Linked DNA regions of Rhinolophus ferrumequinum. The protein of the gene in region 2 interacts with the protein of the main gene of each other region in a pairwise test. Links are inferred from orthologs where the notes say so. Each region holds a gene or a part of one and is shown on either strand. Other genes may lie near its edges. The genes, in order: BAHD1, DVL3, KAT7 and SNX22.

Evidence for each region.
Region 1: the proteins of DVL3 (region 2) and BAHD1 interact in binary tests that used the Homo sapiens proteins (3 or more experiments, as listed by UniProt). The two-hybrid records come from large-scale screens. The link is inferred for Rhinolophus ferrumequinum from reciprocal best matches to the Homo sapiens genes DVL3 and BAHD1.
Region 3: the proteins of DVL3 (region 2) and KAT7 interact in a two-hybrid assay, tested with the Homo sapiens proteins (2 studies listed by BioGRID and IntAct). The two-hybrid records come from large-scale screens. The link is inferred for Rhinolophus ferrumequinum from reciprocal best matches to the Homo sapiens genes DVL3 and KAT7.
Region 4: the proteins of DVL3 (region 2) and SNX22 interact in binary tests that used the Homo sapiens proteins (3 or more experiments, as listed by UniProt). The two-hybrid records come from large-scale screens. The link is inferred for Rhinolophus ferrumequinum from reciprocal best matches to the Homo sapiens genes DVL3 and SNX22.

What each region holds. Positions count from the first base shown.
Region 1 is NC_046289.1:64,615,722-64,623,454, reverse strand, and holds the start of BAHD1 (bromo adjacent homology domain-containing 1 protein), read left to right. Parts: upstream 1-4,439; 5' UTR 4,440-4,446; coding exon 4,447-4,543; intron 4,544-7,733.
Region 2 is NC_046285.1:60,962,484-60,969,997, forward strand, and holds the start of DVL3 (segment polarity protein dishevelled homolog DVL-3), read right to left. Parts: upstream 3,422-7,514; 5' UTR 3,213-3,421; coding exon 3,052-3,212; intron 1-3,051. UniProt on the Homo sapiens protein: Involved in the signal transduction pathway mediated by multiple Wnt genes.
Region 3 is NC_046304.1:33,630,910-33,638,506, forward strand, and holds the start of KAT7 (histone acetyltransferase KAT7), read right to left. Parts: upstream 3,198-7,597; 5' UTR 3,007-3,197; coding exon 2,992-3,006; intron 593-2,991; coding exon 445-592; intron 1-444. UniProt on the Homo sapiens protein: Catalytic subunit of histone acetyltransferase HBO1 complexes, which specifically mediate acetylation of histone H3 at 'Lys-14' (H3K14ac), thereby regulating various processes, such as gene transcription, protein ubiquitination, immune regulation, stem cell pluripotent and self-renewal maintenance and embryonic development.
Region 4 is NC_046289.1:46,348,868-46,356,476, forward strand, and holds the start of SNX22 (sorting nexin-22), read right to left. Parts: upstream 3,353-7,609; 5' UTR 3,294-3,352; coding exon 3,219-3,293; intron 2,855-3,218; coding exon 2,771-2,854; intron 2,358-2,770; coding exon 2,253-2,357; intron 1,706-2,252; coding exon 1,611-1,705; intron 1,289-1,610; coding exon 1,256-1,288; intron 1,010-1,255; coding exon 942-1,009; intron 482-941; coding exon 357-481; 3' UTR 1-356. UniProt on the Homo sapiens protein: May be involved in several stages of intracellular trafficking. Interacts with membranes containing phosphatidylinositol 3-phosphate (PtdIns(3P)).

The DNA.
Region 1 (7,733 bases), on a different chromosome or scaffold from region 2:
AAGGGGAAGGCCTGGGGTCCCAAAGAGGGTGAGTCAGGAGTTGGGAGGGAGGTAAGGAGAATGCAGAAACAGCTTTTTTTCCGGGAGCGGCAGCCCGCAAAGACTTCCCCTGACCAGCAATCTGGAGGCTAGCACTGGACAGATAGGGTTTTGGACACTGCACGATGGACATGTGTTCCCCAAAGTCCCCCTTGTTACTTCTTATGAAGGTACTGGGCCCACACAGGCCCTGGCCTCACCTTGACCTCCCCCAGGCTATGGCAGCGGGTGCCATTAAAGGAGGAAGAGGTCCTGTGCTTTGCTGGGCATTCAACAGCTGGCTTCTTGGTTGCAGGAAGGGGCCTTGCCCCTCCAGTTCAGAGTTCCAGAAGAGCACTTCTGCCTCCCCCATCCCTAGGGAAGGGGCCCCAGAAGGTAAAGAACAAGCAAACGTCTGCACTTGCATTTGCCTGGGGGCAAATAATTTCTGGAGATCCCTTTAAGGAGGGGGTTCCGATCCCTTTAAGAAGGAGTGGGTCAGATAAAAGGACTATAAAAGTCCAGCTTTCATTATTTTCCCACCCCCGGGGGCTTCCTAGGATGGGGGAGGGGGCAAGTGCTGCAGCCGCATTTAATTGGTGCTTTGGTGTCCCTCCCCCAAGGAGCTGTGCCCTTCCGTTTGTCCAGTGGGGCTGAGAGGCCAGGTGGCTTAGTAAGTGTTCCTGGGTTCTAGAGTTCAGGCACTTTAAGGGGGCAGAGGAGCAGCTGCCCACACCTTGGAAAGATGGGACCAGGGCATAGAATGAAGAAAGGGGAAAGTGGTTACTGCCAACCACTGCAAGGACTGCGTTGCCCCGCTGGGGTGCCCTGCCTGGTGCCAGGTGGTTGGAACCGAGAAAGCAGTCTGCAGGGACTGCGGCGGGCAGTGGGGGAGGTGCCTGGTGGCCGAACTGGAGATGACGGAGCAGCCAGTCTGTCCCGGCTGTCAGTCTGGTCGTAGGTGGTGGGGGAGGGGTGTGCGGCGTGTTTTCTCGAAGCCCTGGATGTTTTCCTCTCTTGCATCTCCCTCTTTGCTCTGAGGCAGTTAACCCTTCCTGATGGGTCTACAGGCACCTGGATAGAGAGAGGCCCTTGCCTGGAGGCAGGGAGGGGATGGCCCTGGAGACCACATGTATCTATTCCTCTCTCCCGACCCAGCCACAAACCCTTTTCTGTGGGGGACCTCTGGGCTGCAGGGTGTGCCAGGTTGAAGCAGGGTGATGGGCCCCAGGCATTGACACAACTGCCCTGGTGGAGTGGAGTGGGGGCAGCACTTAGGGAAGGTTGGGGTAGAGTAGCTGTAGGAAGAAGAGGTGGAGCCCTTTCCAGGTGTACAAGGCTCTGGACTGGGAAGCAAGGTGGCCCAGTTGCAGAGGTCTCGAAATCGATCGGAGAGGAAAGGTCTTTTGGGGGATAGGCAGGGTTTGCAACCCAGGGCCTCTTTTTTGTTGGCTTGTTGACCAGCTCTAACAAAGGGGGAGGGGTAGGTCAGTGGGCTGGCATAGGAGGAACACCAAGTGCCTTTAGCCAGCCTGTGCCTCAGAACCTAGCCCACTCAGAGACTCCTGGGGCAAAGGAGACAGCCACCCACATCGGGGAGGAGGCTCTGAGGGTAGAATTCCTGCAGCTGCCAGGCAGGGCAAGCAGGGCAGGCTGGAATGGGCTCTCATGACCACTCTGCCTCCTCTCCAGGGTTTCCTTTTTTTCCCCCCTCCCACCAGGGCCCCATATAAAGACAGTTCTCTCCCCCACACCCCTCTCAACCCAGGACTGATGGATCTTCACTCCTAGATGCTGGGGGAAAGTCCAGTCCTCCAACCACACCCTGTGACCACTTCCTAGGCCAAGCACAGGCTCCCTGCCACTTGGGTCTCCTTCCCTGTAACTAGGTACATTTCTCTTCTGACCCTTTTGGCCTCAATCCCTGCCCATTAATGGGCATGAAGCCAAGGTCAGTGCATGCTGAGCTGCTGACAGGAACCCTGTCCCCACTTCTGTCTTGGCTCCAGGTTGCCAGTGGCCACTGCTGCTGTGACCCTCTACCACCAGTCTCTGATAGGGGGGTGGGGGACATCAGCCCATGGGACAGATTGGGAACAGCAGGAAGGGTGCATTTTGTGAAGTGGGGGGTAGGGCTGGCCTGGTGATGGTCGGGGGACTACTAGGAATCTTTGTCTTAGGAAGATCAGGGAGAGGAGAAATCTTTAGTGTCCTACTTTTATAGATTTGGGGATTTTGCTTTCCAGATGGGTGGGAGAAGTTGTGGCAGTTATCCTGGGAGAACTTGGCTCTTTGAGTTTCCCTGTCACTGTCTTAGCTTCCATTCACACACTGCCCCTGCTGGGTGACCCTCTCCTTTAAACATGTCCGTCAACACACCTAAAACTGTCCAGGGGTCCCTGACAGCTCTAGAGGCAGATGGGGAATCATCCTTTAGGGTTTTATTTCCCAGCCACAGGGGCTAGCAGCCCTGATTGTCTTAAAAGGCTGCCTACATGTGAGTGCTTGAGTCTCAAGGTCTAGGAAAGGCTAGACAGCATGTGGGGTGCAGGAAGAGCCTCTCAGCTACATTCCAAGACTGGGTTTCTCCTCCAGCCTAGGAAGCCCGTGCACTGGAGGTGCTTCTCTCTGCTGGAGGCAGTCCTCAGCCCAGCCCCTCCCTGGGCTGCTTCCAGCGCTCTGGTGACTTGACACTACCCTTTTTGCTGCTGCTCCTTTTACCTCCCAAAGCTCTCCTCCCCCACCTGAATCGGAAATGAGGCTTTGTTCTGGGGTGGACTCAGCATTTTTCAAGAACCTACTACGTGCATGCACATCCAGTGCTGGTTGGAGTGAAGCCCTATGCAGGCTGTGGCATTACAAGGTGCCCAAGACACAGCCCCTTCCTGCACCTCACAAGGACCTCCCACACCTCCGTGTGACCTCAGCCTGCTGTGCCCACCCACCCCGCTGACCCCGCGAGCAAGCTCGGGCTTGGAAAGGCACGTCTGTGGGTGTGAGACGGAGCCACAGCATTCGGGGACTAGCAGGAAGCCAGGTAAGTGTCCACGCTTGGTCCCATCCTGGCTTGGGGACGCGAGGGAGGGAGTCCAGCCTGGGCTGTCAGGCTGCCGCCCCCTCCCCCCGCACGCTCCCGGGGAGAGCTCTGATGTTCCCTGCGGTGGTGGAAGAGGGTATGTGGGTGTCAAGGACTCACAGACCAAGCTCTGCTGTCAGCTGGAAATGGATGAGGGTTCCACACTCTGCTTCTGAGAAGGGTGGATTAGGAGCTGGAGTTGGGGGCGGTAGGTGAAGGGGGAAAAGAGGAAAAAGAGATGCGGGCGAGGGGTTACCGAGCCAGGACCGACCTTGCTTGAAAGGAAAGGAGACGTGGCAGGCAGGGAAGTCGGAAAGATGAGGCAAGGGCGGGAGGGGCTTCTCAGCAGTCGGGGCCCTTTCGCTGGAGTCTGGGGCCCTTTCTGCAGAAAAGGGGGGTTGTCCTCGCTTGATTTTCGTCTGGTCTTCCCGAAGCTTTGCCCTGGGGGCAGCAGTCGCTGGCGATGGTGGGGGTGTTCCTTAGTCCGCAGTTTTCTCCAGTAGGTGCTAGGAAGGAGAAGGGGAAGAGGGATGTAGAGGGGTGACGGCCAGGGCGGCGGCAAGATAAGATTTCGAGGGGGGGTAGCAGCTGGGGGATTGGGGCTTCAGGGTCGGGTCACCATGGGATACGGGCTTAGGCTCTGCAGACGAAGAGAAAACCCAAGAAGCCGGCAAAGAAAACCACCACCCGCCACCACCCTTGGCACCATACCCCTCCCCCCAGGCCCCACCACTCCCCGCACCGCCTCCCCCAGCCGCCTCGTGCTGCCCCCTGCGTTGGGACGACCGACCCACGGTTCTGATTGGTCGGAGACTGGGAGGGGGAGCCGAGAACCGGATTGGCTGGCGGGGCCAGCGCAGGGCGGGGCGGCTGATTGGCGGAGCTGGACGAGAGGCGCTCCGCTGATTGGTTGGGGACGAGGAAGCAGGAAGGAGGGCGGCGGAGGCTCCGCTCTCGGGGAGTTTGTGGGGGAACCGCGAGCGGCGTAGCGGATCCCGGAGCCCGGCCCCCGCTGCCCGCCCGTCCGGCTGCCTGCCCCGCCCGTCCGGCCCCCGCCGTCCGCCCGCCCGGGCCAGGCGCGCCCGCCCCCCCGACGGCCCCGCCCGGTCGCGGCCCCCGCTCCGCCCGCCCGGCCCCGGCCCCCAGGAGGAGGCGCTGACGCAGCAGCGTGGAGCCCGGGAATTGAGCGCCCCCGGGGGGTTCCAGCCGCCGGATTCCAGCCCGGCCGGGGCCTGCGGGCGCCCAGAGCCGCGCCGTCCGCGCCGCCGTCCTGGTGAGCTAAGGGCCGGGGTCGAGGAGGGGGGAAGGGGCGAGCGGGCTGGAGGGACAGAGCGAACGACGGAGGCAGACGAATGAAGGGGAGAGGACCGGCCGCCCGTCAGCGCGCCCCACCGAGCGAGCCGCCGCCCCCGCCAGCCCGGGAAGGGACGGACGGACGACGCGAAGCAGGTGCGGCCGCCCGCTCGCTCGTTCGCGCCGCCCTCCTCCCCTAGGTCCGGCGCCACGGTCCCGCCATCGGGGAGCGCGGCACGCCTCGAGGTGACAGCCCCCCGGGGCCGCTCGCTTCGCTGGCCGGGGGCGGGGTGGGTGGCGGCCGCAGGGTGGCAGCTCGGCCGGGTGGCGGCGGCGCGGGCGTCCCGGGCCGCGGAGGGCGGGAGGACGCCGGTTGCTTCCTCGCAGCGGCGTAGCCGGCTCACCTCCGAGTGCGCGGGCGGCGAGGCCACGGCCCCCCCACTACTCCCCCCCGCCGCGCCCCCTCCCCCATCGCGGTCCCCGAGGCTAGGGGCCGAGGCCGGGGGCGGCGCCGCGGGATCGCCCGCTCAGGGTTGGGGGCGCCCTCCCGCGCTGGGAGCTGACCGGTTATTGCTGGATGGGGGGCTGGGGATGGGGGCCGCACTGAGGCGGGGGGTAGTGTAGACCGGACCGGATCGGGCTGAGAGGAAGGGAGGCGCCGAAGACGGAAGGGAAGCGGTTCGAGAAGCCAGTGTGGGCCGCGGGAGGCCCGGCGGGGACAGTGCAGAGCGGCGGCCGAGTCCGAGGTGGGGCGGGGGGAGTCGAAGTTGTCAGACCGCCTCCAAGTGACAGCGGGACCCCGTGCTCGCGGCCCGGCCTGGTCCTGCCCTGCCCGCTTCGCCGCCGGTCCTCTGGGGCCGGGGGCCGGGTCAGGTCGGGCCCGAGGGGCCCGCTTAGCGGTGAAGCGCCGGACAAAGGCGGCGCCGGAGCGGGCGCAGGTGGTGGCGTCGGGGAGGGGAGCCGGTCCGAGCCACCCACCCTGAGGGGCGGGCGACCGGGCCGGACTCTGCCCCGGGGACTGCGGGGGCCGGGGCGCCCGCCGAGAGGAGCTGCGGCACGGGTTCACCTCTCCAGTTGCCGATCGCCCCGAGGTTCTGGGAAGAGTGGGGGCGACCCGGCTAGGGTGGAGGGGCACAGGGGCAGAGGTGAGAGTGTGCACACGGAGGGCCTGGCTGGTGACGACCAGGTTGCCGAACTCACCAAGGCTACAGTCCGGTGAGCCACTCTAGAGCCTGCCAGGAGTGAGGGGTTTCAGCAAGCAGTTTGCCCACTGGCAGAGGTTTAATCTCACCTGGGATATCTCCTCGTTACCCATTGTCGACAGTTTTAAGAGGGCAGAGACCGGTTGGATTGGGAACTGGGAGACACCCCCTAATGTGTGTCAGCAATCTGTCCACAACTGCTCTCAGCACTTTTCTTTAGTTGAAGAAGGTCTCCACATAGGGAAATAAAATGAGTTTATAAATTCAGGCAAGAATCTAATGATTAAATAAAAAAGGTTTTCAGTCCTTTTCCTTTGTGCCACCTGAGAGACTTTCCTCTGTACCTTCCCCACCCCCATGTCTTCCGGAAAAAGGAGAAAACGACCCCATAGGGACCACATGTCCTGGAGGGACACTGCTGTCCTTGGCCAGCTGGAGGACACGTGGGAACCAGTGGCTTAAGCTGTGAGTGTCTTTAAACCCACCAGTGACCAGCTCTAAACTCGATGCAGTTGTCCCATTTGTAAAAACCCACTCAGAGTTCCCGATCCTCGTCATGTGAACCCATAGTAGAAGAATTGGGAGCACAAAGGCAGGGAGACTCTGGCTGTTTAGAATGTGGACTTTAGCTGATAACCTGGGTTGGAGTCCCACTTCAGGTAGGTGTTGGTTAAGAGCTTGGTTGGCTGTAATCTCGCTCTGGGAAAGCTGCCTCTCAGCCTTGCTTAGTATGGGCATTGAGTTCATTCATGGCCGCCCTCAATCCCCCTCCCCAGGAGGGTCTAGACCCCAGCCTGGGTGGAGTTGAGGCTTGTGGGAAAGAGAGTTATTACCTCATGCAGGAGACTAAAGTTTGTTCTTAGAGAATTTAATTGTATGTCTAAGATTCAGAGAATGATGAATCTCAAGGCCCTCCTGCCTTCACTGGGGCTACACAGTGTGTGATTAATTAGGTGGCAGTAAGGAGGTGACCTGGTCTGGCCACTGGAATATAAAGGGGAATTGCCAAAACAATGGTTTCCCTCTTTGACAGGCTCTTACCTGGCAGGAGTCTGTCAGTCAGATCAAGTGTTTAGGAGGGTTTGCTTTGGAGCATTTAGGCAGTGAAGAGGGTCTCGCCTTTATGTCTCTCCCTCCCTCCCTTTCCTTTCTGTTGCCTTACTGTCCCATGTCAGGCCTGTGTTGTTGTCATGCTCTCCCTCCCGCTCCTGCTTCCTCCGGTCCTTCTGATACAGTCTGTACACAGCTGCTAGATCATTCTTCTTAAAGCACTGTCACTCCCCACCCGCAAACTTGCAGTGGCTCTCCTTTTCCCGCAGTCTGACCTGAGACACATCCCCTCTGGCTCTCCTCTATCCATGCCATGCACATTTGTCTCCCTGCATCTTTGTTCCTGCTGCTTTCCCCAGTTGTCCCCCACGAGGAGCCCCTTGCTTTCCTCCCCTCCACCTGAACCCTACTCATCCTTCCTCTCACTGTCACTCGGGCCACTCCAGGCCAACATTGCTTGCCTCTGAGATTGTGACGCTGAATTTTACAACATGGTGTCTTGAGTAGTTCTGTAGGTTGGAAGTAGTTCTGTAGACGGGGGCAGTATCAATGTTAAACCTCTGTGTGTGGGGAGGAGGGTGTGAATGTTCTAGGGTTTCTGGTAGAGTGGTGTACACATTGTTTGTGTTAAATGAATGAATGCAGTGGGGAACAGAGGGGAAGCCTTCCCTTCCCCTTCCCCAGAAATCCTCAGTATGGAGTCCTTGGTGGTTTCCAGCCTTTTCTATCCAAGGTATATAGATAAGGCATGTTTGGGGTGCTTTAGCATGGGGAACAAATGAAATTTAGCTGTCAGAAATACCATCCTGATATACCATTCTTCACAGCTAGTGAAGAGTCTGTCCTGTGGATTGCTCACATGACACCATATAGACATGAATTGGAAAAGGGCTGTAATTCTGTTTCCCTCCTATCCCACCAAACCATTCTCTCCACCCGGCTTTGCTGCTCTTATGCAATTTTCCTTGTTGTCCATGTTAAATGAATCCATATGTTTTATCTCCTCTCAATCCCGGGTGTAAATGAGGGAGAAAACACGGTTCTGAGAACAACAAAAAAAAAGATTCCTGGGCCTGGCCTGTGAACAGTACTTT
Region 2 (7,514 bases):
CTAGGCATACACTAAATGCTCGTTTCTACCTTTGGCAATTTTTAGTGGGACCCATACTCTCTTTCTAACTAGGTGTAAGTTTGTAAGGGCAGGAACCAAATAAACCTGCTCATCATTCGTCGCTCATGCAATGAAAAAGCCTTTGCTGAGATCCCAGCGAGTTTTAAGCCCTGTGCTAGCCATTGCATGAACCTCAAGAAGCATCAGACCTGGGGCCTGCTTTATTCTCAGAGGTTACAGTCACATAAGCATACCGCAAGTGGGAAGTGGTCAGAGCGGTCACTGGACAGACATCTGCTAAGTGTTACTCAGGTGTCACGTCCTGGCTAGGAGCTGGGGAGGTGTACAGATAAATAGGGAAAAATACTACAATGAGTGACCCAACTTCCCACCTTGCCCTCTCCAGCTGCTCGAGGCCACTCTAGCCGTGGGTACCTTGTTCTCCCATCCACCCTCTCCTCAGGGCTGAAAATGTTTATTCTTCCTCTATTTCCCAAATCATTTAAGAGGGTTGGGCCTACCCTGAGCTTGACAAATACTTCTGGAGACCAGATGGGACTTGGAGAACCTCGCAAACCAGGACCTCAGAGGATAAGCCTGGAGAGACAGCAGCCTTCCTTCTCAGACCCCCTTTCCCGTCTGTCAGCAGGGGCCACTGGCCTCCGCCTGACCCTCCTCTCAGGGGGCTAGGATAAGTGGCAGCCCTATCACCTCTACCGTGTGCCGAGGCTCAGCATCTGCCCCAGAGAGGATGCGTTTGTAAAATGGTGATAATAATAATACCTACAATTGTGTGATTAAAGCCTTAGACGTTGGAGCCAGATTCCTGATGTGGAATCAAGCTCTGCCACTAACTAGCCAGACTGTGTGACCTTAGGTAAGTTATTTCAGTTTTCTGTGCTCTAGTTTTCTCATCTATAAACTGGGGATATTACTACCTATTTCATAGGGCTATTTAAGAGGATTAAATGAGTAAAAATTTGGAAAGCATTTAGATCAGTGCTTGGTACACTGTAAGCACCATAAAAAGAGTTTGTTAAATACATATATATATATATTCCTCTATTATTAGTCTTCTGTGATAAGATAACCCTATTAGATCTCTTGCTCATTAATCCTTCTGGGGAGAAAAACAAAATCAATCTCCTCCACTTCATTTTTAGCATTGTTCTCAACCCTGTTAAAATGGCCTACTCTGATATTTTGCAAAGGATGGTTTCAGTACGTGATGTATGCAAGATGTGTTCAGGTGTTACCTGAATGAACATGTAATTCAATAGTAAATATTTATTTTTAACATATATTAGAAAGAAGTATAATTAGAAAATCAGACCTGTGATTTCATATTATTGATTTGGTCAAGCTAAGAAAGAGTGAGTGGGCTGACAGTAGATTTAAAGAACAATATTAAGTCAACGGTGAGCGGATGTAACGGGGGCCCTCCTATGACTGTAGTTAGGCCTGGCCTGACAGCAACCTGGCGGAGTGGGATCTGCCCGGTGCACTGGACTTCGCTAATTTGCCCCTATCTCATATCCTGAGGAAGTATCTTGGTCTCTTCTAACTCTATTCTTCTCTTACCAGGCCAAGGCATCTGCCCCCTCACTCCTACCCTTTGCGTATGGATCCCTCTTCGGAATCTTCTAATCAGCGGTGTCTGTCTCTGGACTGAAGCCAAACAATCATTAAACACCAGAAGTACCCCAGGGTAGGAATGACAACAGAAACAAGAATAGTTAGAAGCTGCACAGTACTTCCTACTGTAAAACCAATTTCACACATATGGGCTCATGGGCTCATCAAACCCTGAGTTGGGGGGTGGGAGGGAACAGTGACAGCAAAACATGCCAGGCAGAGGGGAGAGAAGGTGCTTGCTTCCTAATACCAGGAGGGCTGAGGTCCTGGGAGAGAAACCAGACTGATGAACACTGGGAAGAAGAACGTCTCCCCTCACTCAGCTCTGGGGCCTCAGCTGCAAAGAGCAGTGCAGGCCTCAGGCTATTGCTGGAGAGGCTGCCTTTAGGCCTGGAGGGCTGGGGCAGGCCTTCCCCACAGGCCTCCAGGCCCAGCGCCCAGTTAGTATGGGGGCCTCCTCCTCCCCCAGTACCCTGGGAGTTGGAGGGGGGTGTGAGGGGATAAGCCAGGCTCCCCCTCCCAGGCCAGCTGCTACAGAACCTTCCGGCTCCAACATTCCATCCCCTCTTAAAGGGGAAGTTGCTGCTTCCAAACTCCGCCTGTCCAAAGCCCTGCAGCTGAGTGAGGAGAAGACCCCGCCAGGGAGCGAAGATGAAGAACGCCAAGAGACTCTTCCGGCCCTCCCACCCAGGCTCTGAGGCCCTTTCCAAGGCCACCATCTGGAGGAAAAAGGCCCCAATTCTGAGGGGAAATCAACATCTGGGCTAGTGGGGACTCCTCATCAGGGGCTCCCTTGACAACATCCCACACAACCCCACGAGGGAAGGGGGGCAGCTAAATAAACATCAGGTCTGCAGGCCTTAGCTTACAGCCTAGCGCCTGAGCACCCCCGCTCCCCCTCCCCCCAGTTCAAAGTCCCACAGCACAGCCCTGAGATGCACGGTACTCCAAATATGGCTCGGAGCTGTGGAGCTGAAAAGATGGAGAAAGCGAAGGCCGAGTGCCAAACTCCTCAAGTCTGTGCTAAAAACGTGGCTCCCTGGGCAGGAGAAGGATGGGGGACTCGAGCTCTAGAACTGGGTGGAGGGGTGGGGGTGTGTCTGTCTATGTGGACCGCTGGTCTCTGAGAGGTGAGGGGACTTCCTGGGCTGGAACTCTAATTTATCTTGGGGAGTTGAACGTCCTCCTAAACTAGGGAGGCCAAGGTACCTCACAAGAGAGAAAGGAGAGTCCCTAGAGAGGCTGGAACTCCAGCATCTGAAAAAATCAAGAGGAGCCCAAATGGCCAAGTCACCTCCTAGAATCCTGAGTAGGGCTCGAAGCCAGTGTCGCAAGGGAAGTCCAAACTGGCCGAGTGGCCCCTAGAAGCCGAAGGGGACGGGCTCCCCGGGAGGCGAGGCGGGGGGCCATCCTCACCCGAAATCGTCGTCCATAGACTTGAAGAAGAACTTATAGCTGGGTCTCTGCAGAACGCCCTTAAAGTCCGCCAAGGTGACGCGCTCGGCGGGCAGGGGCAGCTTCACCAGGTACGGCGTCTCCTGCCCGTCCAGGTGGTAGATGATCTTGGTCTCGCCCATGGCTCCGGCCTCTGGCCCGGCGGCCCGCGCACGGCCTGCTCGGGCGGCCGGGCCGGGCCTCTCGGGCGGCGGCGGCGGCTCTCGGCGCGGCCCAGTGGCTCAGCCCAGCTCCGCGGCCGGCCACGGCGCCAGCTCCCTTGTTCTCCGGCCGCTCCCGGGTCCCAGCGCCGCCTGCCCCTGCCGCCGCCGCCGCTTCCGCTCCCCACTCTCCCGGCTCCGCTGGCGACGGCGACTCTTCCGGTGGCCGCGGCCCTCCCGGCTCTGGGCTGTCGCCCGGCCCGCTCCCCTCCCCGGGCCCCGGCGCGACCCCGCCCCGGCGCGGCCCCGCCCCCGGCCCCCGCCGAGCCGCGCTGGCCTCGCGGCAGATGGCCTGGCTCTCGGCCGGGCCCCCAGGACACCCCGCCCACCCGCCGGGCGGCGAGCTCTGACTCCTGCGCTCCGGTCCCTGGCCGGCGAGAGCGTGGCAGCGGTCGCCCAGGGCCCCAGAGATGGAAGGATTGATCTCACCAGGATGATTGCGTTCCTGGACTCTTCAAAGCCCAGGCTTTGGACCCAAGGGGATCGGTTGCTCCTCGCAGCTGGGAAGGGGTGTAATGCAGGGGTCTCTTTGGTCCCCAGAGGTAGGTGGATGGGGCTTCTGACCAAGTACCACTGGGGAAAGTGATCTTGACATGGACCTTTAGGGTCTGTTAATAAGCATAAGTAGCCATCATTGAGTCTACCAAATTGAGCTCCTTGAGGACACTATAGGATCGAGTGCTGATTCCTTCTTATAACCTCAGTACCTAGATGCAACGCAGTGGTGGTTTAATAAATGGATTGAACGCAGAACGAGTGCAAGAATGAAGATGGGTGCATTACTGGGACAGTAAGTCTCAAACCAGAAGTAGGTATAATCATTTCTAACAGATCCCCTTACCCCTTAGCTTTAAATTTGTTTAATAAATATTGAGTGCCTACTATGTACAAGGCATACTGCATGAGCTACAGCAAATAGAAGACAGGTAATGCTGCCCCGGACCTTTACTTATTTGGAAAGAGGCTTGTAAATAAATAACTTCAGAGTGACAAGTGCTATGAAAAAGATAAAATAGAGTGATGTGATAGTAACAGGGGAAAGAGAATTATGTGTGGTCAGAGAAGGCCTCTTCCATTTGAGCTAAGTCCTAGAACAAATGAGAAAGCAGCTATAAGGTCTGGCCTGGGGGAAGAGCATTCCAGGCTGAGGGCACAGACAAGTCTAAAGGCTCAAGGCAGAAATAAACTTGCCAGATTTGAGGAACCAGAGGAAGGCCGCTGTGACTCCAGGGATAGTGTTAGATCAGTCTGGGAAGGTAGACTGGGACCATCTCACATAGGTCCACACATCAACAAGTGTGGGCTCCTCCCACTCCATTTTGTACAGTTGCCAAATAAGCATTTCAACAGTAAGTACCTCTTCAGCTCAGAAACCTCTTCACATTCCCTAATGCTTTCCAAATATCCTGATCATGATATCCAAAGCCCTCCATAATCTAACCTCTACCTACCTTTGCGGCCTTTTATTTCATTATGTCCTATCTAAAATTTTGACTTCAGCAAATCAAACTATTTGCTAGCCCCTGCACACATGTATATTTTTATTTCATACCCTTTACTTTAAATTCTTACCAAAGCAGTATGTGTGCATAGTCAAATAGTATTAGGAAAGTTTTTAACAGCTGTCCTCTGTCCCATTTCCCTCCCCACCCCAGTATACTTTTTTAGTTTATACTATCTCTTGAATTATGCATTCTAGACATCGCTTATTGATTTCCAATCTTGACTGATGGATTTCTTTTTCTTCCACCTCCCCCTAACCTCTTAAAATAGTAAAATCCCACTTTTTTAAAGTCAATATAGTACTTAGTATTGACATTTTGACTATGAATAAATGCTTCCTTTACAACTTGTTTCTCGTCATTAACCATTGCCTTGCCTTTTCATTTGCTTTGCTTTTTATGTAATATAGTGTATCTATCTATTCTTTCCACATAATCTAATAGTTTCTCAATACATATTTTGTTAGCTCAGTCAAATACAGGCATATGTCAGAGATACTGCGGGTTTGATTCCAGACCACCATAAAGCAAATATCACAATAGTCACACAAATTTTTGGGTTTCCCAGTGCATAAAAAAGATATGTTTATACTATACTGTAGTCTGTTAAGTGTGCAATAGCATTATGTCTTAAAAAAACACTGTAGATACCTTAATCAAAACATACTTTATTGCTAAAAAGTGCTAACCATTATCTAATCCTGTTGAAAAAAATGGCACCAATAGACTTGCTTGATGCAGGGTTGCCACAAACCTTCAATTTGTAAAAAAAAAAAAAAACCAAACCCAGAATGATCTTGAAATGCAATAAAGTGAAGTTCAATAAAATGAGGTATGTCTGTATATTAGATAATCTATCCATTTTCTTCCCTGGAGCCTTCAATTCTGTTGCTCTAATCTGCACTGTTGACTATCTTTGCTTGTGCACAGCAGCCACTTCTCTGTATCATACTTAAAATTTCCTTTACTTCTGCATGTTGGTTCCTCATTTCCTAGATACTTTACTCCTTTGCTTTAGGAAAGCACATTCTCGGTAGCTTCCCTTGAAAGCATGGGAAATAAAATTTTTGAGAACTTGCAAATCTGAAAATGATTGAGTTAAAAGTAATTTATCTTCAGAATTTTGAAGGTTCAGAATTTATCTTCAGAATTTTGAAGGCACCACTGTCTTCTAGCTTCCAGTGTTGCTATGAAGTGATCAGTTTCGTCTCTTTATTATCCTAAGCCTTTGAACACGATTTGTTTTGAATTCCCTGGAAGTCTTTAGGAAGTTCTCTTTATCCTTGGGTTCTGAAACTCCATGGTGACATGCCTTGGTGCTTATTCACTGTGCTAGGCACTCTTTCCATCTAGAAATTCAACCATATCTTCTTGAATTACTTAATAACATGACTACCATTTCCCCCATTGCTTCTGCAACTGTTAGATGTTGGACCTTCAGGATTGATCCTTAATTTTATTTTCTCCTTTATCATCCATTCCTATTTTAAAATGATTTCACCTTTTTGCAAGATCTCCTTAATATTATTTCCAACCTTCCCCCTATCCAATTGGATAGGTAAAATATTCATAATTGAAAATTCAAGAAGTGTGTAAGGATGGAGAGTCTCCTTCCTGTTTGGTTCTCTGGTTCTCCAGTTCTCAGCAGAAGGAAACAATTCATTTATTTTTAATTTCTAAGAACTTTTTTTGTTCTCCAATTCTTCCTTTTTATAACACTTTCTTCATAGACACAGTATTTTTCCTCTTTGAATTTTGAAAATAGCTTCCCCCCAGGCCGCACCAAGTTTTCAAAAAAGCTCCGTCTTGTCAGTTTCCTTGGTGTCAATTTTTTGGTCTCTGCCTTCCACACTGGAAGTTTCCTCAAATATTTGATGGCCCTTGGCCGTCCATTCACATTTAAGAGATACCAGAAAGCTGACTGGGAGCTGTTCATGTACAAGGCTTATTATCTAACAGGTTTACTGTAGGGTGATCAAGTGGGGGAAAGATCGCTTTTTTCGAGGAAACAAAAAATGTATTTGTAGGCTTTTTCTGTAGTTGTTGTTTGCTTTTGCCTGGGGATATAAATCAATGTGTGCTGATATTTAGAGCCCTACCACTCATATACTTCCACTTAATCCTTCATTTTCAACCTAGCTCCTCACCCCCATCCCCACCATGTCTGTTGTTAAGTCTAGAAGCTCTAATAATTTACATTTCCCCTGAGGTTCTGGAATATCATGAGGTTCTGAATATCATTCATTATGCTGGGCACTCATGGGCTCTGTCAGTCTGGAAACTCATGATCTTTGGGTTTAGGAAACCTTTGTATTTCTTTGATAATTTCCTCCCCACCGTTTCTCCAAAGGCTAAATCTCCCATTTCTTGCGGAGGAGAAGTAGGGGTAGTCACCCTGCTGGATTATATAAGGTGGGGGTTGGGGGGGCTTTTTCTTATAGAGGTCTTTGTCTGAATCCCCTCCACTCGATGCCTGTTCTTAGACCGTCTTTACCCTCTTCTGCTGAGCCTTTTCTGGGTTCAGAAAGTCATGTTGGTTTGCTTGTTAATAGCCATCCCAGTAGGTAGAATCCATTTCCTTCTGCTCTGCTAAGTCAACTCTTCCATTTTTCATTTTCCAGAATGTTGATATCTCTCATTCATTGTCATCACCTAGTTTTCCTTATCGAGTCACATGCCTTTTAAAAGTATCCTTTAGTGGCATATGAATGGGGTTTTGGAG
Region 3 (7,597 bases), on a different chromosome or scaffold from region 2:
GGCACTTACAACTAATAACTAGGTCAACTATTTATACCTATTAATTGCGTATCTGACTATATTACAGCCTTAAACATTTGGTTTTACAAGTACTGGGCCCCCTCCAATAATGAGTTCAAGGGACTACTTTAAGTCCCTAAGTCTAAACCATTCTAACAAAAGGAAAAGATAACATCTAAAAAAAAAAAATTAAATGACTCAAGACAGACATACAATGTATCATACATCCATTATACCAGACATAGTTCCTTTGGGTCTACAAAATGGACAGCAACCCCAACGGGACCATTTTTAAAGACCTGACACTTCTGCAGTCATTTCCTTTGCATTTTACCAGATTCTGTCACTACATCAAGCCAAGGGACCAGTTTCCACATTAACCAGCACAATATGATGACCAGTCAGTGAGTTGTGAGACATAGTCAGTAAGAAGGAAGCCTTTACCTTGAGAACTCTGGCTCAGCCGGGCTGAGGAGCGGGTGACGCGGGCAGATCGCCGGGATGTGCCATCACTCTCTGAACTGTCTGTGTGCTCGAGATCTGTAGAAAAATCGGAATCTTCGGTTCCATCTGAACTACTGCCTGCATTCCTCTGTAACACCATAGATCCAGACATTAGCACAGAAGCATTTACTCTGTGGGTTTATATTAACACTGGAAATAAAACGAACTGTGATGCCAAAAACACCAACTTCAAACCTAAAAAAGGATTCCACAGCCAACTTCCTGTTATTTAGAGCATTTAAGTGGAACAACCTAGAAATAACGTACCTTTATTAAATAAATGAAGGAGAATTAACTCTTGCTGTATTAAGACAAATTTAATTCTAAAACAAGTCTATTTGGAGGTCAGTATTACAAACTGGAAACAAATGTACCCAATTCAAAAAGGTATGGCTGCCATAACTATGGACTTACAGAAAGTCCAAGGTACTGAGAAAAATGTTAGACCCCATTTAACTTTAGGGTAGCTCTGGTTCAAAGTCTCCATGAACAGTCATCACATTTTAAAAAGCCATATACACTGATTCAAAATATCATGGTCACAACTCTGATCCCAAAAGAACTTAAGCATAAAAAGAATAAAATTCTTCTTTCTTATGTTATCTATATTTGAAGTTTCTCCACGAGTGCCAAAGGTGCTTACAAAAATAAAAACAAAAAAGGCAGCTTGTACACAAAGACTTGTAGGCATTCAGAAAGAGGATTTTTAGCTTCCTTAGGCATGATTAGCCATAAGCACAGTTTTTATCAATTGAGCGTTAACACTAAACCAGAAAGGAAAGCTTATTTGCTAAAAAAAACAATACAGAGCTTCAGATTACAAGTCTCCTATTCTTTATTCAAAAACCTTAGGACTTTATTTAGAATTTCATTATTTTTTAGATTTTTGGAAAGACAATACTTTGCATATATCCTGCAAATAACAGCCCATAATTAAACACATTAGTATTCCTGCAGGAAAATATATAATCACACTACCAAGGAGACCCACAAAAAATATAAGTAGCCTCCGGACAGTTTAGGACAGGTTTTGCCACCAAATAAGTTACAAAAAAACTTCCATTTTCAAGAGTTCTTTGTATTTGCGGGGGGGGGGGGGGGGGGGGGGGACTGTGGACCTATTCCAAGCAAGGCACCAATACTATTCCTGCATTTGGTGAGCCTTAACATAAGCACCACCTAGCAATGTAGGTCATTTTAGAAGACATTAAAAAATATATTTTATTTGAAAGCCTCTGTGAAAATAAATATTTCTGCAGAAATGAGCAAGAATACTACCCAGCTTTCCAAATAGTTCAAGGGTAATCTGCCCAGAAATGAATGGACATCACAGAACATCCAGAGGAAGAAGGGGGGGGTTAAAGGTCATCTAGTCCAATTACCCAGATACTTGAATCCCTGATTATCTCTGACCATCCCTTCCTGGCTCCATCCTGGAACTCAGCTCTTCTCTTCAGCTTCCACCAATCTACTTCCCATCTTACTCCAGAGCAGACTGACTTACTCCCTCACTTCCCTCCCCTAACTCTTTGTACATATACTTCTAAGTAGAGAATTTACTGGATCTTGTTTTCCCCCATCAGACTGTGATTTCCTTAAGCCAGGGATCATGTCTAATTAATTTCTGAACCCCCAGCAACCAGAACACTGCAAGTAGTCAATAAACATTTGCTGAATTGAATCTGTTCTGCAGTGCTGGCTCTGCCACCGCCTAAATGAGTGGCTTGGGACACTCCAGTAGGCCTGTTTGTTCAGCGGCAAAGAGATGGGGGTGTCCCAAAGAGATCTCATAAGTCCGGTATAAGTTTCTGAATTTACTAACTGCATTTTCTAGGGCCTGTCCAACTAAGCAAATAAGCAAAAATTACGGCTTAGATGCAATAGGACAGAGTGGGATCCCTTGGGAGTGGGCGCTGGTTCTTTGCCACCCACTCTTCTGCTTTGTTATGCCCCCCGCCCGGAAAAAAAAAAAAGAATGCTCCCAAACTCCGCCTCTCCACCTATCAGCATCAGCAGCCAGAAGGGCGTGGATTCGTGCCATCCAATAGTGGTCCCGCTAAACCGCGCCCCCACGGGACAGACTGCCAAGCCCAGCCAATCAAGAGAGGAGAGATCGCTCTCTACAGCCAGTCTGAAAGTCGAACAGCCTGGCCCAGACACCGCCCCCGCACGCGGGGAGGTGACCGTTGGGCCCAAATGGGCGGTGTCATCAGCCAATCAATATGCTTCTAGACGTTTCAGCGACCAATTAACGAGAAGAACGCCTCCGAGCCAGGCAAGCAGAGGGCGGGAATAGTTGCAAGCACAGGCCGAGGCCAGGGTCGGGCCCACATTTTTCTGTTGGGTATGGACAGAAGAGAGGGTTGCCAAGCTAGGTTCCGGGGAGCGGGAAGTTGGAACCCAAGGAGTGTGAGGCGTGGCCAACTGCGTCACGTTGCCCAGTCGACTGTCCTTAGAAACCCGCCATCCCTCCTGTCCCGTTCTTACCTTCCTTCGCGGCATTGCCGGCGGCTGCGGCCCGACGGTTCCGATTCGGGCAGCGGCGGCAGCAGCAGTAGGAACGGTGGCTCCGGCGGGCTCCGTGGCGGCCACGGTAGCAGGCCCAATCCTGCGGACGATCCCAAGTGCCTCCTGCTTCACAGCGTCTAGAGCTTTCTGCGCAGGCGCCGCGGGCTGAGGCGCTTTTTCCTTCACTTCCGGCTGAGGCTCACGTCACCTGACGTTACGGGCCAGATGGGTGCTGGGAAGTTCGCTCCTTCTGGTGAGGCTAGTGAGCGCCATGCTGGAATTGGGCACAAAGTAGAAACGGGGGCCAGCCATTTCTAGTTAGGGGAATGGCACCCTTTGTGGACGTGAGTAGCCATTATTGTTTGGGGCAGAAGCCTGACAGTTGAAGTTAACTCTTCTCATCTTTACCTTGGGCAAAATTTCCCTTCCCGGTTGTTTTAATTTCTGAAATCGAGGCAGGAAACCCCCAGAATTCATCAGGTTGTTGAGATTTAACCCCTTCGTTGCCCAATTAGCTAAAGGATGTTTCCGTTTACCATATAAACTCAAAGTTGAGATGGGATATTTTGCACAAGAAACTATTTTAAGAACCACCCCGTGTCTCAAAGTGGTAGGAATGGGGCCTTGTAAAAGGAACAAAAGGATAGGGTCCATCATCAGGAAGTTTCTTGTCTGGTAGAGGAGACATTGTCCTTGCCCTTAGCGAACAGCAAGTAAGTCGTTCACGTCGCGGAAGGAGGCAGAACCATTCTCCAGAAGTTGTAGCTCCAAAGAATTCCCAGTTCTGTGGTGAGCGGCCACCTCCTTCCCCAGTTCTTATGGGTTCGAGAGCCCTGGGTGGCCCGCGGAAGGTGGATGCGTGGGGTGCCGTACCAGAATCGAAGAAGCAATGAACCCCATTTAGCCCAAATGGCCTCTGGAAATCCAGATGCTTGAGGCAGGAGTTGGGGGAGGTAAGAAGAAGAAGGAATAGTTTTAGTGAAGCTGAAGCTAAAAGAGGCATGTGTATTTAAATAATAATAATAGAGCCTGCTTTGAGAGGGCCCAAGAAGGAGAATCTGGTTAAGGATGTAAGGCTGGATGCAGAGCCTTAAGAAAAGGCAGGGAAGTGGAGAGCAGGCTTTGAGGATTTAAACTCGTTGGAGGAAAAGCCTTGAAAGGACCAAAGCTTGACCAAGAGCAACTGGGTGAAATCCAGGCAAGCTCAGTCATTAAGTTAGGATCCTGGACCCCGGTTTCACCTGAGGCCAACTAAGATGGAGATTTCCCAAAATGCAGAGCTAAAGAACAAAGCAGCAGGAGGTAAACATCTGATTGATGTGCTAAACAGAGTTAGAGTTCCAGGCCCTCAGCCAGCATTCTCCTTGGGGATATCCTAGGCAGGTTTTAACCCAGGCGGCTTTTAGTGTTTAGTATAAATACCTTCGAATAATCTACTTAGGTTGAACTGCACATAAGAACTTATTTGAAAAAGGCTTGAGTTGCTTGTTTGTGTATCCCCCACGCCCAGTACTTAAGCATTTAGTTTCACACTATTACTGTTATTTTGCACTCACTGGTGTGTTCCTGAGCTCATTCTTGGATGTCTGGCTCCCCAACTAGTGGTAAGGAGCTCTTATGTTAAGAGTATTTCTTTTCTTTTTTTTTTCAAGGAGGGCGCAGCTCACAGTGGCCCGTGTGGGGATCGAACTGGCAACCTTGGTGTTACTAGCACCACACTCTAACCAACTGAGCTAACCGGCCACCCCGTTAAGACCATTTCTCAGTTCTTTCTTACCATCCTTAATAGTGCCCACACCATGCTCTACCCACAGTAAGTGCTTGCTGGTCAATCAGAATGTTTACTGTTTCACAGTCTCTGAATGTATAGCACTCAAAGATGGTGAATTTAGTATTTTAGAATAAGATCGTACCCTAACTTAACCATTCATCATACAAATACCAGTCTTATAAATGTTTGACATTAGTTAATCTCTTTCATTAGATTTTCAAAACTGCAGCTAACAGTAAAAGAATTTACAGTTTCATTTAGACATGATTCTTGTCCTTGGAACGTGTACACTCTGGCGGCGTGAAAAAGCTAACACCAATAGGATAGAAATATAAGGAAAATGTGGACTTGAGATGAAAGCTATATATTTAGAATGGGGAAAGGGGAATCCTGAGAGCTATTTTCTTTCTTCCTTTCTTCTTTTGAACCAAACATAGTCTTTACTTCGAGTGTCCTTTTCGTCATGACACAGTTAACTCTTGAAGCCGGAACTGATACTGGTTTCAAAGGCTTTGACCAGTGCTCTTCTGTCCATCCTCATCTGCCAGACTTCACATAGGTAGCTCTGCTGTTCTTCCTGCCTCGGTACGTTTCCCAACCTTCTTTAAAATTTACTTTCTTCAGAAAGTCCTGATTTATTATTTCCTAGGTAGTAGAGCATGCTATGGTATTTTGCACTTACTGCTACATTTACACTTTTTCTCATACAATTTGGTAGCTCTTCTGTTCTCCTCTGTCCCTCCCAGACAAATAATAGGAACATAGAACTCCTATTTGTTTATTCATCAGCTCTACTAGTGTCCAGTACAGGGCTTTGATGTCAGACCTGGATTTGAATTTCAGCTCTGCCACTTTCTATCTGCATTGCTCTTGGACAAGTTTTTAAATTTATCTGTGCCTCAGTTTTCTCATTTGTGACATGGAGACACTAATAGCCACCTCACAGGGTTGTCGCCAGGATTAAAGGAGATGATTGTTGTAAAGCACAGTTCCTTACCAAGTAAGTGCTCAGGAAATGGTCGTTGTTATTCATATTTATTATTCCAGTCACCCTAGTCATGGCTATGACATCGTAATGTTTGTGAATATATCTTTATATGGTCTCAATGGCTCTTTGCTTTTGTCTGTTCTACTTCAGCTCAAGAGACACAGAATAATTACCCAGGCATTGTATACCAGGCATTGAGTCACGCCACTGAGGACAAAACACCATGCTTCCCCAGGCCAGTAAGCTCTTTGTTCCAAAACACTATGGAGTATTATTAATAGGAAAACAGAAGGATGAGCAAGCTTCGGAAGTGGTGCAGAAGAGGGAGTGGAGTGTTTTGACTGGAGAGTTTAGGAAAGGATTGATAGAAGAGGTGAAATAAGAGTGGGATTTTATAGGACAAGTACGTTTACCAGTGGACAAGGAGAATAGGGGCTTTCTGTGCAAAGGAAACAGCATGTGTAAAAGCACAGAGAAGTAGAGCAGCATTGTGTGTTGTGCGAGTGACTAACGGCATGGTGGAGTTGCCAAAAAAAGAGACAGGAATGATTTGGGGAACAAGTTCATGCAGAGCCTTGAATGCCCTGCTAAGGAGCCTGGCCTGGAGGTGATGGAGAATCGCTGAAGGACTTTAAGCAGAGGAGTCCCACGATCACACTTGCACTTCAAAGATCTCTTTCTGGAAGCCGTGATGGATACTGAACAGAGTGGCAGGGAGTCCTGAGGCCAGGAGACCGGTTACAACGCTGCTATAATAACATTCCCTGGAGTGGAGGGAGAACTGAACAGGGCAAGGGTAGTGGGGCCAATCCTTTGGGTATGTCCTTGTGCATTTTCTTTCTTGTAACTATATCTTGTCTCCTCAGTTACATTTGTGAACTCCCTAAAAGATCCCTCAATTTCCTTTCAAATGCTCCCCTTGCCAGTAAAATGATAGGTCCCATATTTCAAATAAAAAGTGTAGTTGTTCATTGTTTGCTTCAAAGGCCTGGGAGCTCATGGAGGTTGGGAGCCTTGCCTGGCTGGCCACACTGTCTCCAACTTCAGTCTCGCAGCCTGGCATCTAAAAGGGCTCAGTAAATGGGGTGGCCACTGCCACGTGTTGGCTCAGTTAGGAAAGACTTGCACAGAACCAGCCATCATCTCTCCTCTAAGCCTCTTTTTGACTATGTGCCTAGGGGGAGTTAGGAACAACAGTTTCCCTGTGGACGGATAACTAACTGTCCTGTAAGGTGGGCACGCATGCCTTGACCTTTTTAAGACAAAGCTAGAGTAGCCAGGCCAATCTCGTAACTTCTGAGTACACGTATGGGTGTAGTCTTTATCCCTTTGGGAGACTCTTAGAGGTTGCTGATGTGACCACAATTCATAGTAAAATCTTTTCATCAACATAGTCATGACGGTCACTAATGGTCCTTCCTTTTTTACTCTTGCCATATATGGCCTGGGACTTCTCTTACCTTCTTGGCCACTTGTTCATTTGGTTCTGGTATCACTCTTATCCACCACGCACCCCCAGCCCCACCCTGGGGGAAGGTGTTGGACAGAGCCCAGCAGGCTCAGGCACAGCTCCCCGCCTCTGCAGCTGGGATTATAAATAACCACCAAAACTAAACAGTCAAATAACTGCATTTTGAAAATTGCTCAAAAAAAAAAAATCACTCTGATCCTGATTCAGTAGCTGTTCTCCTATTCCTGCCCATCATCTCCCGCCTTCCTCCACCATCTACCTCCCTTCCCTGATCCAAGCTCCCAAGGGAAGTCAATCTGCATAAAGCCGTGGTATGATGAAGACATCTTTTTCCATATTTGACAGGGCCAAAGCC
Region 4 (7,609 bases), on a different chromosome or scaffold from region 2:
CCAGCCAGAACCCTTTCCCCAGATGCTACCCACAAAACTTCGAGCAGAAGCTTTTGTTCCTTGCTTCTAAACTTGGCCTACTACAGTGCCTTAACCTTTGCTTGCCCCCTTCTGGTGTTAGTGAGGAAGTACACCTGTACCCTTTCATAGCCTACCTCCTAAATTGACTTCTCCCTTAATCCTCACCCTGTCCTCCCTGCCCTGGCCCCAGGGTTCCAGGGGTACAGGAGTTCTAGCACCCCCAGCCACCAATGCAGCTGAGTTCTGAGCCTGAGGTGGGTAAGTCCTGGGTATGGAGCTCACAGGACTGAGGCACGTGACTGTCCTGGCAGGTGGTCCAGAGGCCTCTGGGCTGGTCAGGGCATCATCGATGGCAGGGGTGCAGGGTGACAAGGAGCCTCTGGCTGGACGTCAGCTGTGCTGGTGCCGAAGCCGTAGAAGCCCTGGAGCACGCCATTCACCACCACACTGGGCAATGGCTCTGTGGCAGAAGGAGAACAGGAGGAAGGTGTAGGGGGCTGCAGTGGAGGGCGCTGTGGGATGGTCCTGACCTCAGGCCTGCAGCTTCCGGAGCCTCTAGCCAGGCTTAGCCCCACTTGGGAGCAGGAGCCCCTGCCAAGGCAGCAGGTAACAGCTGGTCACCTAAAATGAGGCATGGGCATTCCCAGTTCACATTCTGTTCACATGAGCTTGGTAAAGCCAGGCTGGTAAGGAATGCAGACCAGGGGAGCCAAGCTAATTTCACCATGTCTGCTCCCTGGTGAATACAAAGCAGGCTATGGGGGCACAGGAGCAGCAGGGCAGGTATGGTCCCAAAGGAGGGCAATTAGGAGAGAAGCTGCCTGGAGGTCCTGGGAGCTGAGAAACGGCAAGTTCACCCCTACTCCCGCCCTGCTAACTGTGCCCTAAATATGGGTTATAGGTCAGAAGCACCACCTCACCTGGGGATGGGGTGCAAATGTAGGGATCCATGCAGAAGCGGACGACAGGCCGGTGGTGCAGCTGCACTCTAGGACAGAGGGTCAGGAGTATTGGAGAGGGACGTGGAGCAGTCTCCTATTAGGTGGAGACTAGGAATTGAGATCACCAAGGACCCAAAAAGAAACGAGGTGAGAGGGCAGTGGGCTCAGGAGGCACCAACAGGAAAACCTGGACCAGGACAGACAATACGAGCCATTTTGGCAGCAGGCCAGCCTCCTGACAAATGGCCACCAGGGGGCAGCAGGAGCGGGTAGGGGTAGGGGCTTTGACTTGCCTGCTGTTGCTAGGCAGGAACTCCCCCAGGGTTCTGAAAAGAGGATGTGAGCTGCTGGGGATGCCCGGGGGTTCAGATCTTCACCTCCCAGGGGCCACTGCCTCTTTTTGTAAAAAGCTAATTTCCAGAGGCAGCAGGGGTAACCAAGGCTATCCAGAAAACCACCTCCACCAGGGTCAAGAAAGCTGATGAGGGAGATCGTGTCTCAAAGTAAAAGAACCAGGCTCAGGCCTGGCAGGTGTAAGAAGGAACAGGGCTTGGCCTCTAAAATGTTCCTCTGCTTGCCGCAGAGAGCCCTGTCCTCCCAACGCTGGGGCCCCTCGCACGCCAAGCCATGGCCCCTAGAGGTTCTCACCCCCAGCTGCTGGCCTTGGGGCCGGTGGGAAAGTGCCGAAGACTCAGGAATTCAAGTAGCTCCTTGGGCACATCCTGGTTCAGGTACAGGACGCCCTGGAGAAGAGGACAGAGGAAACCTGTATCTGACCCAGCTATGTGCTGCAAAACACAGCCCAGTGCAAAATGAAAACGCGGAGGTTCTGCCAAAATGATTAAGAATTTCAAGACAGTCAGAGCAAAACATTCATTAACCAAGCTGGGGGCCCGTCTGACACTGGGCCGAGTGACTACACAGGTGTATGCCCATGAGCCAGCCTGGCCTATAATCTGGCATCACTTTGGGGGTCGGGGGGAGGGTACCCACTCTACATCCTCATGAAGGCAGCGCCAAGATCTCAGCCTGGAAGGGAAGAGAACTAGCTTCCAGTTCCATAATTAAGATTGAATGAGGTAACTAGGAGGCAAGTGGTCCCAGTTCCATGAAAGTTCAAGAATTAAACTAATTTCAATTAATTCCGAAATTACTGTTCAGAAAATTGAGGCTTGAGGTACTAAAAAACATGCCCAAGATGTGCACCCCTCTCCCCATGCCCCCACAGCTGGCTGGGTCCCACCTCTAGTCCAGCGGGCTAGAGAGCACGAGAGTCAGACCCACGCCCACCTGGATATAGGCCTCCAAACTCTGCCGCCGCTGCTCCAACCCTCTGGTCCTCCAGTGGGGCAGGCGTTTCGAGGGGAAGTCGGGCACTTTGTATAGTTTCTTGATCTGCGAGGAGGTTACCGCGGGGCGATCCCAGTGTCCCCACTGAGCCCTCAGGCTCACTCCATCCCTGCGAGAGCCTTCCCCAGCCTGTCTCCCCTCCCCTCACCCACAACTCCAGGCTCTACCCGGAACAGTCCCGGGTGAGTGGTGGCTGGGGCAGGGGACCCAGTCTCTCTACCCCAGCAGATGCCCGAGGGTGGGCCGGCCGCGCAGGGGCATGGGCAGTACCGGCCGGAACCTGCCCCTCTGTGTCCACCCCGCAGCCCGTGGGGAGTTCAGTGCCCAGGACCTGAATACCCTCCAGGGACTGGTGCAGTAACGGGGGTGGCAGAGGCTGAGGCCGCAGCTCGTCTGCCCTCCTCCCTGGGCTGGGCAGGAGCCGGGCCGGGGTCGGTCGGTCGGCGGTGCCGCCTCACCCGCTTGTGCAGCGCGTGGAACTCGCTGTAGCGCCTGGGCACCGTGTGTCTGCGTCCGCAGTACCGCACCTCCACTCGGAACACCTGGCAGGCGCGGGCCGGCAGGCGGATGCGCGTGAGGCTAGGCGCCCGCCCACCCTCCCGCGCTTAAAGGCACAAAGCAGCCTCGGAGCGCCGCCGCTCCCCGGGGACCCTCCCACGCTCCTCACACTTTATGTGGAAAGGACGAGAGAATCCGCCCTCCGCTCGGTGCAGTCCCTCATGAGCCCGCATCGTCGCCCGTGGGGCTGGCAAATTCTAGCGCCCCGAGATCTTCGGCTGGCTGTCCCCCGACGGCCTCGGCGGCAGCGCTCGGACGCCCCAGCCCGGGGCGCGGGGTCCCCACTGCGCTCGGCTCAGGGAAATCCGGCGGTCCCTGCACCCCTTCCCATCCAGTGCCCCCGCTCACCATGTGGCCTTTCTCTGGGCTCTGCTTGGGTGCCTCGGCCTCCGGCCCCACCGACGGGATGTGAACTTCCAGCATCCGCGCCCCCGCCCCCGCCCTCAGCTCCTCAAGCAGAGCTGAGAGCCCGAACTCTCCAAGAGCAGCGGAGAGACCCTGAAGGGGGCGGCCCCGCCCCTTCGGACTCAAAGGCCCCGCCCCCAGATGGCCAAGCCCCGGGCGTTCCCTCGCGCGCGGAGTCCTGCTAGGGGCAGATTAGGCAGCGCGCAGGGTGGCGGGAACTGAGAGCTGTCCCCTGAGCCTGGTGGGGCCGCAGTGCGGGTGGGGACCCTTCGGTGGAGAGGCATGTGTTTGTCAACATTAACTGAGCGCCCACTGACTGTGAGGAACGCGGGCGAGCCAAAATTTCCCCTGGTCTTTGTTGAGTGTCTACCAAAGACTAAAGCCCGTGCGCGCTAGGCATGGAGGATTCGGGGCCCAGACCTTGGCGCCTACCTTCAGAGCCAATCAGGAACGTTCCTTCTGTTCCTCACGCCCTTCCCCGGGACCAGGCTGCTTCCCACCCTTTTCCCTCCACCTTCAACCTGGACCCTGAGAGGGTGGCTGAGCCTGGGTAAGCCTTGGAACCCCGTCTGGTTATGATGTCTCCCCTCTCCCAGCATCCACAAGCCCCTTCATTCATTCATTCTTTTAATCCATTCCTTCATCTTTCAGCCCTAACCTGCTTCAGGCCCAGTTTGCCAGCAAGAGGCGGTTTCACAACCTAGGCTCTTCTTTGGGGGTCAGACAACTTGGATTTCCCAAATTGTAGACCTGTGCTCATCTGCAAAATTGGGATAATATACCTCTCTGGGGAGAGTGCCTGAAAATTAAGTGAGATGATCCCTGTTAAGCCCTCAGCAAAGTAGGTGTTAAGAAAATGGCAGCTTGTGGGCTTGTCCTAGAGGCACAGGTGGGTGGTATTGGTGTACAGGGCAATGGATGGGGAAGAGGGCCTGTGGAAGGTGGCACTAGGCTGTTCTTGCCCATCCCTTTGGGCAGGGTCTTCCTGGGTATGGGGCAGGACTCAATCTATAACTCTCTCACCCCCTGTTCTAGAAAGGGCCTCTGCTCCCACCCCTCAGCCATAAGGGAGTTGTCTCATTCAGCAGAGTCCACGCCACTGACTTCTCCCACAAAGGCCTAGGCAGGTGGTAAAGGGAAGGGAGGCCCTGCCTCCAAGAGCTCACACCTAGTGGGATGTCTGTGGTGAGAAGGAAGAAGCAGAGTACCTGTCTTAGGGGGTGAGGTTGGGGAACCACTCACTCCATGCATTGCTAGTGCAGCGGTGCTTCTGATCTGGAGCAGAAATTCTCCATTCCCATTCCCAGCCCTGCCCCCAAGAGAGGCTGAGAGAATGATCCCAAGAGGAGAAAAGGGGGGGCTGGCCCCGTGGCCCACGTGGTTGGAGCGCCATGCTCTTAACGCTGAGGTCTGTGGTTCAATTCCCACCTGAGCCAGTGAGCTGCGCCCTCTACAGCTAAGATTGTGAATAACAGCTCTCCGTGGAGCTGGGCTGCCGTGAGCAGCCGGAAGTTGGCATGAGCAGCCGGAAGTTGGCGTGAGCTGCTGTGTGCTGCCGTGTGCTGCCATGAGTGGTCGGCAGCCATCATGAGCGCCGGCAGCCAATGAGAGCTGCCGTGAGCTGCTGACCTACGACTGGTGACCGACTGCCTCAGCTGACGTGAGCGCAAAGCTCATAATACCAGGTGGGCCAGGGAGCTGTGTCCTACACAACTAGACTGAGAAACAACGGCTTGAACTGCAGTGTGTGGAGGGGAGGCGGAAGAAAGATGGGAAAAAGGAGAAAAGCAGGTCTTATCAATACTATGTCCCACACTTTCTTTCCTCCAATTCCATCCTCACAAGTGCCCTAGAATGAGGAAGCTGAACCTCTTTGGAAGGGAAATGACCCACCATGAGGAGAAGTGCTGGGGTTTCATTTCACCCCTTACACTCCAGGGCCTCCATCATTCAGGGACTTTGCTCTGCTTGTCTTACTGCCCAGGGAGTCCTCTCCTGGGACCCCCAGACTTCTAAACTTCTTGGTCATCCATGCTAACGACTGTCTGCCCCTTTGTCTCTATTCCTACCATCCAGAAAACTGCTAGTCTCCAAAGGGATCTCCCTGTCTTTCCAGGCCTCCCTCCTTCAGACAAAGTCCATTCTATCTAACAGCGGAAACTGTCATCAAGGCGTCTGCGTAACACCTTCCAAAGGCTTCCCACAGCACTTAGAACGAAACCCACTCTCCCTACCACACTCTACAGTACTCTAAATGACCCCGCCCAGCCTCCATTTCTCGTCTCACCTCCTGTCCTCCCCCTCCACGCACCAAGCTCCGGCCACAATGACCTTCTTCCAGTTCTTCAAACCTAATGAGCTTTTTCCCGTCTCAGGACCTTTGTATATGATGGTTCCTCTCCCTGGAACACTTTTCCGACTCTACCTGGTAAGCTTAGCCTAAAACTTCCAATTCTTAGCATAAATCTCAACTCCTCAAAGAGGCCTTCCTTTCTGACCACCCTATCATATCACCTCATTCCAATGTGTAGTTATGTCTGTTTATTGTGTCTCCTTGGTTTCCTTGACTCTGCCCCAGACTCTGAGCGACATCAGGCCAGGACCTGGTGTGTCTTCTCAGTGGCTACCGCCATGGTGCAGGGCATGTAGTAGACACAAAGAATACATTTGTGGTTGAAAGACTATATCAATGAATGGGGGAGGGAGGTGGGAAAAGGCTAGGGAGAGGAGGGAAGACTGGGAGAGAGGAAGGGAGCAGGGGTTGCCGGAGGGTTAGAGGAAGGCGGGATAACAACAGGAATACTCTTCCCACCTTCAGAGTTCCCTCTCTCTCTCTCTCTCTCTCTCTCTCTCTCTCTCTCTCTCTCTCTCTCTCTCCAGATTGTTCTTCACCTTACTCATTTGCTTAATTTTCCAGTGTTCCTGAGAAGCGTCAAATCAATAATGGATTTTCATCACCAGTTGTGGAGGGAAATTTGATGCAATTGACTTGAAAAATGCCACAGCATTCCATGATAAACGAGTGAAGATCAATGAAGAAAAACCAGATTCTTGACCTGGAGACATTTTAGATGTCTTTGGGGAGATAGAACAAGTTATGGAGAATACTTTCCTGAAAGGAGGAACACATGACATGGTGGATACCCCACAGCAGCGGTTACAGTCAGAGGTAAAGTTTATTTTCTATACACTTTAAGCATCGCCCCCCCATTCAGTATGTGAACACTGAGGTAAGTTCCAGGCTCTTCAAAGTGACTTCCATTTTCAGAATGAGTTGTTTTACTGTATAAATTCTTGTCTTTCCTCCATCACTCTTCAACATACAAATTTAACGTCCAGGCTTCTCGGTGAAAGTTGGTTAAAAGTACTGGTTGGTCACATTTTCTTGGCCAGGGTATATAAGGGTCGGATGATAGAACAGTGGTTCTTGAACTTCAGCAAGCAGCAGCATCACCAACATGGCCGGTTAAGTCTCGGAGGGTTAGAGGGCCCTGACCCATTTTCTGAATGTGGAGCCTCACATGTGTGCTTCTCACAAGTGCCCCAGTGATGCCAATGCCCCTAGTTGGGTACCACATTGTAGACGCAGGTCTCTCGACTCCCCAAACAGCCCCGCCAGGGAGTGGGGCCACTCTCGCCCCACTGTGCAGACTTGGCACCTAGAGATGAGAATCCTAAGAGAGAAGGCCTAAGCAGAGGGCAGGAAGGACTGGGGACGGTGTCCCCCTGACATACTCCCACTGGGGGTGGTGGCTGGTAGTGGGGTGGCAGGCCGGTGGGTTGGACCTTGGTTCCCACTCTGGCTTGGGCCCTCGCCCTCTGCCACCATCACACAAAGCCCCTTTCACACTAGAACCACTTCTGCTGGGCTGCGCAGCTGCTCAGGAGGTTTGGTTAACCCTGTTAAGAAAACAAACAGCTCCTGGGCCTTGGGCTGGCGGGCGCTGCTGGGCACAGAGGCTGGATTCTTTTCTCCAGGCGGGTGGCCAGAGGCAGACTGGCCCCAGAGGGAGCCCAGCCCCGCCTCCCCCCAGTAACTGGACTGCTGGGCCTGGACTGCTCCACCCAGGACTGCTCTGGTTACCTGGGCAACGTTGGACGACACCTTGTGCCTCAGGGTCCTTATCTGTACCGGGGAGAGTTGTGTGGATTAACTGACATCATGCTTTTAAAGTGTTTAGCATGGGACCTGGCTCGCAGTAAATGAATGTTAGCTATCATTATTTGACTGAATTCTATGAATTTGCTGTTTTGGAGGCCAAAACTGTGGGCTATTGGCAACTACATGTGATTCATCCTGTATATTGTTACTGGTTCAACTTTGAAACAAGAAC